2 linked regions of the Mus musculus genome follow. The protein of the gene in region 1 purifies or fractionates together with the protein of each later gene. This does not show direct contact. Links are inferred from orthologs where the notes say so. Each region holds a gene or a part of one and is shown in the gene's direction. Other genes may lie near its edges.

Region 1 (4,447 bases):
TGAGGGAATACTCTGGGGCCTGGGGCCAGTTACTGAGGGGAGGGTTGGGGCTACCTCTGTTGATATTCCTGCACTCCGAGATGAGTGAAGGATGTTTCACTCTTTGCCTTACAGAGTGTTGTAGCGGAGAGAAAGCTTAAAAATGGCTAAGAAGTGTCTGGAGCCCCACACTGAAAGCTTAAGTCACTCTCTGCTTTTGTCTTTGTCATAAGCAACAAGTCACCAGAAACAAATAACGAATACACTGTCAATTCCGTTAAAAATTTTCCCCAGTTTAGCACGTGAATTTCAAAATGTTCTTCAAATTATTATAGCTATTCATCCACCCACTCTGCCTTCAAGACGGCTGCCACAGAGCACCCTGAGCACCAAGGCACTCCTGGTGGGCCAACTGCTTACTCCGGTATTCTGGAATGTCTCTTGGGTTTTCTTCTTTCTTCCACCCCCTTGAAATCCTCCCTTTCAAGTAACAGGTTGGGGTGAGTACCTGGATGGGGAGAGAGAGATGAGTGCACTGGCCCGTTGAAGTAACATGGGTCTTTTAAAAGAAACCAAGGACAGGCACTCTGCATCTTAAGGAAAAGAACCCCGTGCAAGTCAGGGTTCTCAGCTCAAGTCCCGGTTCCCAGCTCGGGTCTTTGTGTTCTTTGCAAAGTGGCCCACGGGGACAGTAGGCTGTACGGCGAGACGTCCCAAACGGAGTTTAACGCAACGGGGAGGAAAGTCTTCAACTTTCAAAAGCATCATCCCGCGAGAGGAAGTTTCAGGCTTGGCCTAGGGAAAAGTACCAGGAGGTGTGCGGGGGTGGGGCAGTGGCGATCTGAGAGGTCTCTAGAGAAGGAAGGGGAGTCCAGCCCGAGAGCGGAGTTGGGGGGGGGGGGGGCGAAGAGAGGCGGCATGGGCGAAGCGCCCGGCAGCGCGCGAGCCCCGGCTGCTCGGCTGCGCGGGAGCGCAGGCCTGGAGGGCTCGGGTGACATCACCCGCGGGCCCCTTCCTCCTGCCGGGTGGGTGGGGCCTGGCGCGCCGCGCGGGCGCGGGGTCAAGGAGGGGGAAGAGGAGGAGCAGGCCTGGATGTGTCTGTGTGAGGACCCGGGAGGGGCGGAGGCGGTGGAGCGCGTGGCTCCCGGCTGCCCGCGCCAGCCCTGCCCGGCCCGACGCGCGGCCTCAGTGCCGCCCCTCAGCGCAGCGCCCTGGGATCCGCGCGCGCGGAGCGGGACCCCGCCGGGCGCGGCCTGGAAAGGAGCGGGAAAGCAAAGTAAGGCGAGCAGTCTTCCCAAGTTTTTAAACCAACTTCGCCCCCTGCGGCGGCGGCGGCGGCGGCGGCGGCGGCGTCGTCCCGCGGCTCGGCGCGTCCCCCCCAGCGCTCCTCCGAGTGGCGGAAATTAGAGGGACGGGGCGGGGGTGGGGGCGCGCGAGGGAAGAAGGAGCCGGGAAGGAGAGCAGAGTCTGACCACATCTGTGAAAACTTGGGGAAGGAGGGCGGGGAGGAGGAGGAGCGCAGGAGCGCGCGGAGGGGAGCGCGAAGGGCGCGCGCGGCGGAGCTCAACTTTTGCAACCGGGGCGCTCGGCCTGGACGGGCCCTTAGTCGTTGAAAAGTCGACTTGACGGTCGGGGGGCTCCTTTCTTTCTCTTTCTCCTCCCACCCGCGGTTGAACCAAATCAGAACTGTCACTCAGGGCCGGTGACTCAGAGGGATCAGATTACAGGATCCCTGAAACTGATGCGCGGGCTGCAGCGGCGGGAGGGAGCGGACCGGGCCGCACCGCCGGCGCCCGCACACTCGTCCGCCCGCCCGCCGCTCCCCTCCTCGCCCGCTCGCCCCGTCGCCGGCCCACGCCACACCATGCCCGCCGGGGCCGCACGCTGGGATCAGTCAGGCCATCCACGGTAGCCCGAGTCCGCCTGCCGCTCCGCCGGCGCAGGTCTGTGGATTTGGGACCTGACAGCCAAAGCCGCAGGTACGTCCCGCCTGAAGTTCTTTGTTTTGCGGGCCCCGCAGCCCTCCCTGTCGAGCTTCCCGGCGGCGTCGGAGCGGCTTGTGTGCGCTCGCGCCTTCCCGCGCTCTCGGGGATCGGGTCTCGGCTCTCCGGACTGCAGAGCTCCTGCCCCAGGGCGCGCGGACCAAGTTTGCAGCGGCGGCGTCCGTGCCTACTTCTCGCCAAGTGCTGCGCAGAGCTCCGGGAGTCCGGAGCTGCGGCTGGTCCTCGCGCCCCCGCAAGCCGCAGCTTGGCTTGCGCGCAGCGCCTGGGGATGCGCCGAGCCGCCGCTGCCCCGCTCTCCAGGGTCCCGCCTTCACTTCTGAGGGTGGGGGTGCGGGGTGAGCGGATGGAGGGCGCGCCTCCGCGGTGGGAGAGGAAAAGTGAAAGTTGTGCCATCTGTGCGTGATTTGGAACTCTGTCTCTTCCTTTCCAGAGGTAGAGCAGAAAGAAAGAAAAGAGAAAGAAAGAAAAGTAGCCGTGGCCCTTGCGGTAACCAAGAGGCCGAATTTGCACAGAGCAGAGTTGGGTACGGATCACTCTACTCTGCTGGGGACACTTAACTTTCTGGAGTTGCAGTGGGACCCCGAGGATGTGGCAGAGTTAATATTGATCATACATTTGAATAGTTGGTGAAGCGACTTTTCAGCAGATGGCCACATGCCCTCACACTCGGCCCGGCCTTTGCTTATTATCCTTTGATGAACTTAGTATCCTTCTGTGAACTTTGTGCCTGTGTCCCGGAGTGCACCTTTTTGAGTACCAAGCCATACCCCCCCTCCCCCCAGGCTTTCTTGGCTGTGTGTGTGTAAAGACCACTTAGGGAAGTTTCCTGCACCGCGTTTACCCTTTCTCCTCCCCCAACTTGGTTGTAGATTCTGGCCTTGGGTACAGTGCTCATGGCCCTCTGCCAGTTTATATGTACATATATTTATGTAAAACATTTTCTCCCAGCTCTGTGCCAGCTGTTCCACATTTTCCAGCTGCCACTTCAGTTTGAAATGATGGACTGTCGTCCTCAAGTAAAAGAACTCTTTAGTCCGAGGTATGGAGGGCCGGCCGCTGTGCAAATACAGGGGCAGTGCCATTAGCCCCGCTGGTATTATTAGTTCCAAAAACACCTCGTGCCCTTCTTTTCCTCTCCTTCTCCTCCTCAATTACAGCTTTTCACAGCCCAGTACGTGCACTCTGCTGAACATTCAAGTGATTAACCCCCCACTCCCCTTTCTAAATGATTTTGTGCAGAACTTGGATGAGGCCGGCAGGCTGGTTAGCTAGCTTGCTTCTCTTTTCTTTCTTTCTTTCTTTCTTTCTTTCTTTCTTTCTTTCTTTCTTTCTTCCTTCCTTCCTTCCTTCCTTCCTTTCTTTCTTTCTTTCTTTCTTTCTTTCTTTCTTTTCCTGAAATATGTGTCTGGTGGAAATAACTTCTAGAAAAAGAGTTGCAGCTTGAGAGCATTGGGCATGGCTGGGGGAAGGGGAACTGTGCTCTGCCATCTGAAATAATCTCATTTTAGTCTATTTTAGGGGAAACCTTTCCTTCGTTCTCATGTCACAAGCTTGCACTGTTTGATGTCTTCACGAGTTATAGACTGAATTCTTCAAGAACTGGCCTAAAGTATTAATTTTGAGTATTTATGTAATTGCTCTGTAATTTGAATAGGTGCCTTATTGATTGATTCCTGTAATTATTTCATTTGGGTTTTAAATTAAAAATTAATAATAGTCTGACAGTTTCTTAATTACACGTGTCAAGATTATTTTGAAGCAGGAAAATGCTGTTTTAAAATAGTGAAATAACCTCAGAATCACTTCATTTTTCTAAGGCAGCGCAATAGAGGATATATTAAAGCAGTGGAGATTGGTTTTAACAATGTAAACTGTGCAGAGTATCTACAGAATTTGTTTATGTTAGGAAATATTGGCTTTAACAATCTGGTCCACGAGCTCTGTGGCCAGTTAGATTATAGTCAGACCTTAAAACAAACATGAAATAACATTTAAATTAGCTGAAATTGCATATTTATACAGAGCAGAGAGTTTATTTTACACTAAAAGCTATTTAATTAGAAACTCTCCGCCTAAGGGGAGATCCTTTCAGGGTACGTAATTCTTAAAGTCAGCCTAGGGAAGGCTGGGTTTAGCTGCATGAATAAGTTCAATGTGAGAGGTGTCTGCTGAAATTTCACACAGGCAGAAACACTTTAAAAGATATAGATTGCTTTATTGCTAATAGACTGGCAGGCTTAGCTCAGATGCCTACCAATTCCCTGTGCTTTTTACACACTCCTTGATTGAACTCCAGTGTCCTTACAGTTTTTATTGTATGTCTAATTTGCAAAGGAGAAAATTCAGCATTGATGAAAAATAACTCTGTCGCGTTATTTCATTGCTTACTTAATGAAAGCATTGTTAATTTAACAATTGGATTCCAAGGCCTAAAAGTTGGACTCTCCTTTGTTTTGAAGCCAGTG
Region 2 (3,647 bases), on another chromosome or scaffold:
GACTTGTTATAGTTCCATGAAGTGGTAAATACAGATGCTGTGTGCTCTGTGAATGTGCTTAGTGTCTCCAGGTAATACCAGGTGTACCTCCCTCCCATTTCTTTTATTGTCTTTCTGTTCAGGGTGATAGTGGTGTTGAGAGAGGGCCTTGCTGTGTAGCCCAGCTTGCTCTCAAGCCTCCAGCCTCATCTTCTGAGTACAGGGATTCTCCCTTACTCAGAAGGAAGAATTTAGGGTCAATTCCCTATTTCCACCCTCTCCTCCTTGTTCTTGTTGTTGTTCTCCTCCTCCTCCTCCTCCTCCTCCTCCTCCTCCTCCTCCTCCTCCTCCTCCTCCTCCGCTCCCTCTCCTTCTCCCTCTCTCTAAGACAGGATCTTTCTGTATAGCCCTGGCTGTCTTAGAATTCACTCTGTAGACCAAGCTGGCCTCAAACTCTGAAAGTCTCTCTTGCCCCTGCCTCCTGGTGCTGGGATCAAAGGCGTGAACAATTTGAGTCACCAAGATTTAACTTCCATTTTGCTATTATATTTCATACCCAGATGGATTTGACAGTTTGCCCCTAGGACATGAACTTTGCAGTTTTCTCTCTTAAATAACAGTAGATAATACTTTCTGCTCAGTAATGGTAACTCTTAAAAGGATGATAAAAGACCACTTGGGAAAAGTCCATTTTCTTAATCAGGAGATCACATTTTATGATAACATTCTAAATTTAATATTTCACGTTTATCATGCACTCACATTCTCCTAGGTACCAGGCGTTTCTCCTAGAAGTGGTCCCTGTTGTCAAAGAACAGACACCAGAAAAGAGTATCACTTAAAACAGATAGAGACTAAGAAGCTGGTTCTCGATATCTAGTCTCTCTAGCATCTTTGATTTGGAGATGTATGTTTGTAAGGCATAGGAAAAGCAGTGGGCTAGAAAACAAGATTAGAGAGTCATTTGAGTCCTGTTATCTGAGGATACAGAGAAACTATTACTGGATGTGAGGGAAATCCTAGAGTACCCTTATAGTAATGACAAAGACTCAGAGGAAGACAAGAATCTCAGGAATGGTGGGCACTGCAAAACAACAGAAATCTCATCTGCATGCAAAGTGTTTATATAATCAAACTGTTCAGAGACGGAGGCCATTAATCCAGAATTATTTCTCAAAGTGGTTTACTTGCTCTTTATGTTGGTGTATCCTATTTCATAGTCCTTTCAAAACAAACAAACAAAAAAACCTGTTCTTTTCACTTCCCCAGTGTGAATTTTCTTTTCTCTGTTAAGCTAGCCATCAGAGCCAGCTGCCTTCCTGATAGAGATTTTCTCAGCTAATTTTCAAGGTGTATAATAGGGAGAGGGCACGGGAGAAGCTCTCCTGGAGACATTGAACAATTAATTACATTGTAATGGAGCTATAGAGGCACAAGTGGATGACTGGCCCAGAGAAAACATGATTTCTCTGGTGCCAGGATTACACTCAGAGGCATTTCTGCCTGTCTCCACTTTGCAGGGCACGATGCCAGTGAGAACAGCAGTTAGCACACCCATAGTGGGCTTTAGTAGCTTCCACACCGTGTTCGGTGGGTTCTTAACTTCAGGATAAGGAATTAAATTTTTTACCCAGCAGGAAGTGATTGCCAGTTACCTTTTTTTCTTTCTCCCTTTCTCCCTTTCTTTCCTTCTTTCCTTCTTTCTTTTTTTGGTATCAATCTAGCTTGGGATGTGAGCGTTCAGAAATGTGCTGTCAGAAGGAAGGAGATGCTATCATGCTGCATGCTGGAATCAAAGTCAGGAAATGCATCTGTGTGTGCATATAGGAACACACCTCTGAGCTTCCTGCCTCACATATAATGGCACGGTGTGCTTAGCCTTTCTCCTCACCTCTTCCCTCCCTGCCGTTCGACATGCATGCAGTCCTCTGTTTCTGTTGTATGGACTGAATTGGCTCTTCTGGAAGACTCCCAGAGTGACCAGGAATAGCCCTGGTGACCAAGCAGCCGCCCAGCACACACGCCTTACCCTGTGATAAATAGCACAGCTCGATCATGACAGAATCATTGCTGTGACCCAGCATGCTAGGTGTCCTCTGCCACTGGTACAGCTTGACTCGGGTTTGTGCAGCTCAACGGCAGCACACCGGTAGAGTAGCTACTGTACCCGTTGCGCACGCTGCTCTGGGTTCAAGCCACAGCCCCAAGGGAGAGAAGGGAATAGTTCTTATTAACCAGAAGAGTCGCCATTATTGTCAAATTATAAAGTCAGTAAATGTATAGAAGCCTAACAGACCAGTAGACGGATTCTGAGCACACTATCAGTCTGAAGCATCCCAAAGGGCTTGGTACTCTGAGGCTCTGCACTGGAGTCAATGTTGGTCCAGTTCCTTAGATTCCAGGTTAACATTTGACACAGGACTCCCAAAATCACCTGACCCTCATGCCTTGCCAGGCCAGTTAATGGAAGTTCTGTGTGGTGGTAGCTGAAACACTTTGAAAAAGTATAAAGCTGCTTCTAAGTGGATTCATGACCTTCTCATTGGTAAATATTTGTTTTGTAGGGGACAGTACTTATTCAAAAACAAACCTCCTGATGAGAACGCTCCTCCCAACTCCTTTTATAGAGCGCTTTATCCTAAAATCATACAAGACATTGAGGTAAGAATCAATGTTTCCAGACATTTGCCAAGTGGTAGGGAATCATGAGTATGCTTAAGTCACAGCACTATAGAAAACCCATTAAACTTTTCAGTGTAAGTTACAATCATATCTTTACTAGAATAAGGTTGATAAAGTGTAGAAAATTCCTAGGCAATTTTTGTACAGCTTTAAAACCTTTGTGGAGAAGGATTGCAGCTTTCCTAAAATGGCAGAGTGATGTCTGTACTCCTTCGCTGATGAGCTTTCAAGCAAGGTCATCAGCGGGCATGAGTACTGTGTGATGTGTCTGAGACGCCACTGGGCGGGTGTGCAGCTCGACTTGGTACCCACCTGTTAGTGTTTTAGTTGTATGTAGCCCATAGAGCAGTGGTTCTCAACCTTCCTAATTATTGTTTGCAGCCCTTGTGCTGTGGTGACCCCCAACCATAAAACATTATCCTAACTGTAATTTTGCTACTGTTGTGAATTATAATGTAAATGTCTGTTTTCCAGTGGTCTTAGGCAACCCCTGTGAAAGGGTTGATCAGGCCCCAGGGGGCCGTAGACCCACAGGCTGAGAACCAGGCCATAGAGTCTCACACACACTGAGTTGTTGGTTTGCCTCTTTGCTAATTAACTGCTTCTTTGAATCCTCCTCTTTAGACAATAGAGTCCAATTGGAGATGTGGGCGACATAGTTTACAGAGAATCCACTGCCGGAGTGAAACAAGTAAAGGGGTTTACTGTTTACAGTACGACGACCAGAAGATAGTCAGCGGCCTTCGAGACAACACCATCAAGGTGACTGGACCCACTTCAGTGGAGGAGCATTGTTGGCGCGAGGGTGACCACATTCATAGAGCAGTCTGAAGCCTGGCCTTGATTGTGGTTTCTTTTCTAGGAAGTGGGAATTGTAGACTGGTTCTAGTACCAAAGCCAAAATCATTTCCCTAAAGGGCAAATGTCTGCTTCTCCCCACAGGATCATACAAATGTGTAGTTCCAGGGTTGGACTCCCTTCTAGAA

Evidence for each region. The genes of interacting proteins can lie anywhere in the genome.
Region 2: the proteins of Gli3 (region 1) and Btrc purify together in Homo sapiens (affinity purification with western blotting, with the first as the bait; 3 studies listed by BioGRID). This does not show direct contact. The link is inferred for Mus musculus from reciprocal best matches to the Homo sapiens genes GLI3 and BTRC.

Annotation. Positions count from the first base shown.
Region 1 is NC_000079.6:15,462,154-15,466,600, forward strand, and holds the start of Gli3 (transcriptional activator GLI3), read left to right. Parts: upstream 1-1,569; 5' UTR 1,570-1,958; exon of another isoform or gene 1,959-2,465; intron 2,466-4,447. UniProt on the Homo sapiens protein: Has a dual function as a transcriptional activator and a repressor of the sonic hedgehog (Shh) pathway, and plays a role in limb development.
Region 2 is NC_000085.6:45,510,102-45,513,748, forward strand, and holds part of Btrc (F-box/WD repeat-containing protein 1A), read left to right. Parts: intron 1-2,543; coding exon 2,544-2,640; intron 2,641-3,285; coding exon 3,286-3,423; intron 3,424-3,647. UniProt on the Homo sapiens protein: Substrate recognition component of a SCF (SKP1-CUL1-F-box protein) E3 ubiquitin-protein ligase complex which mediates the ubiquitination and subsequent proteasomal degradation of target proteins. Recognizes and binds to phosphorylated target proteins.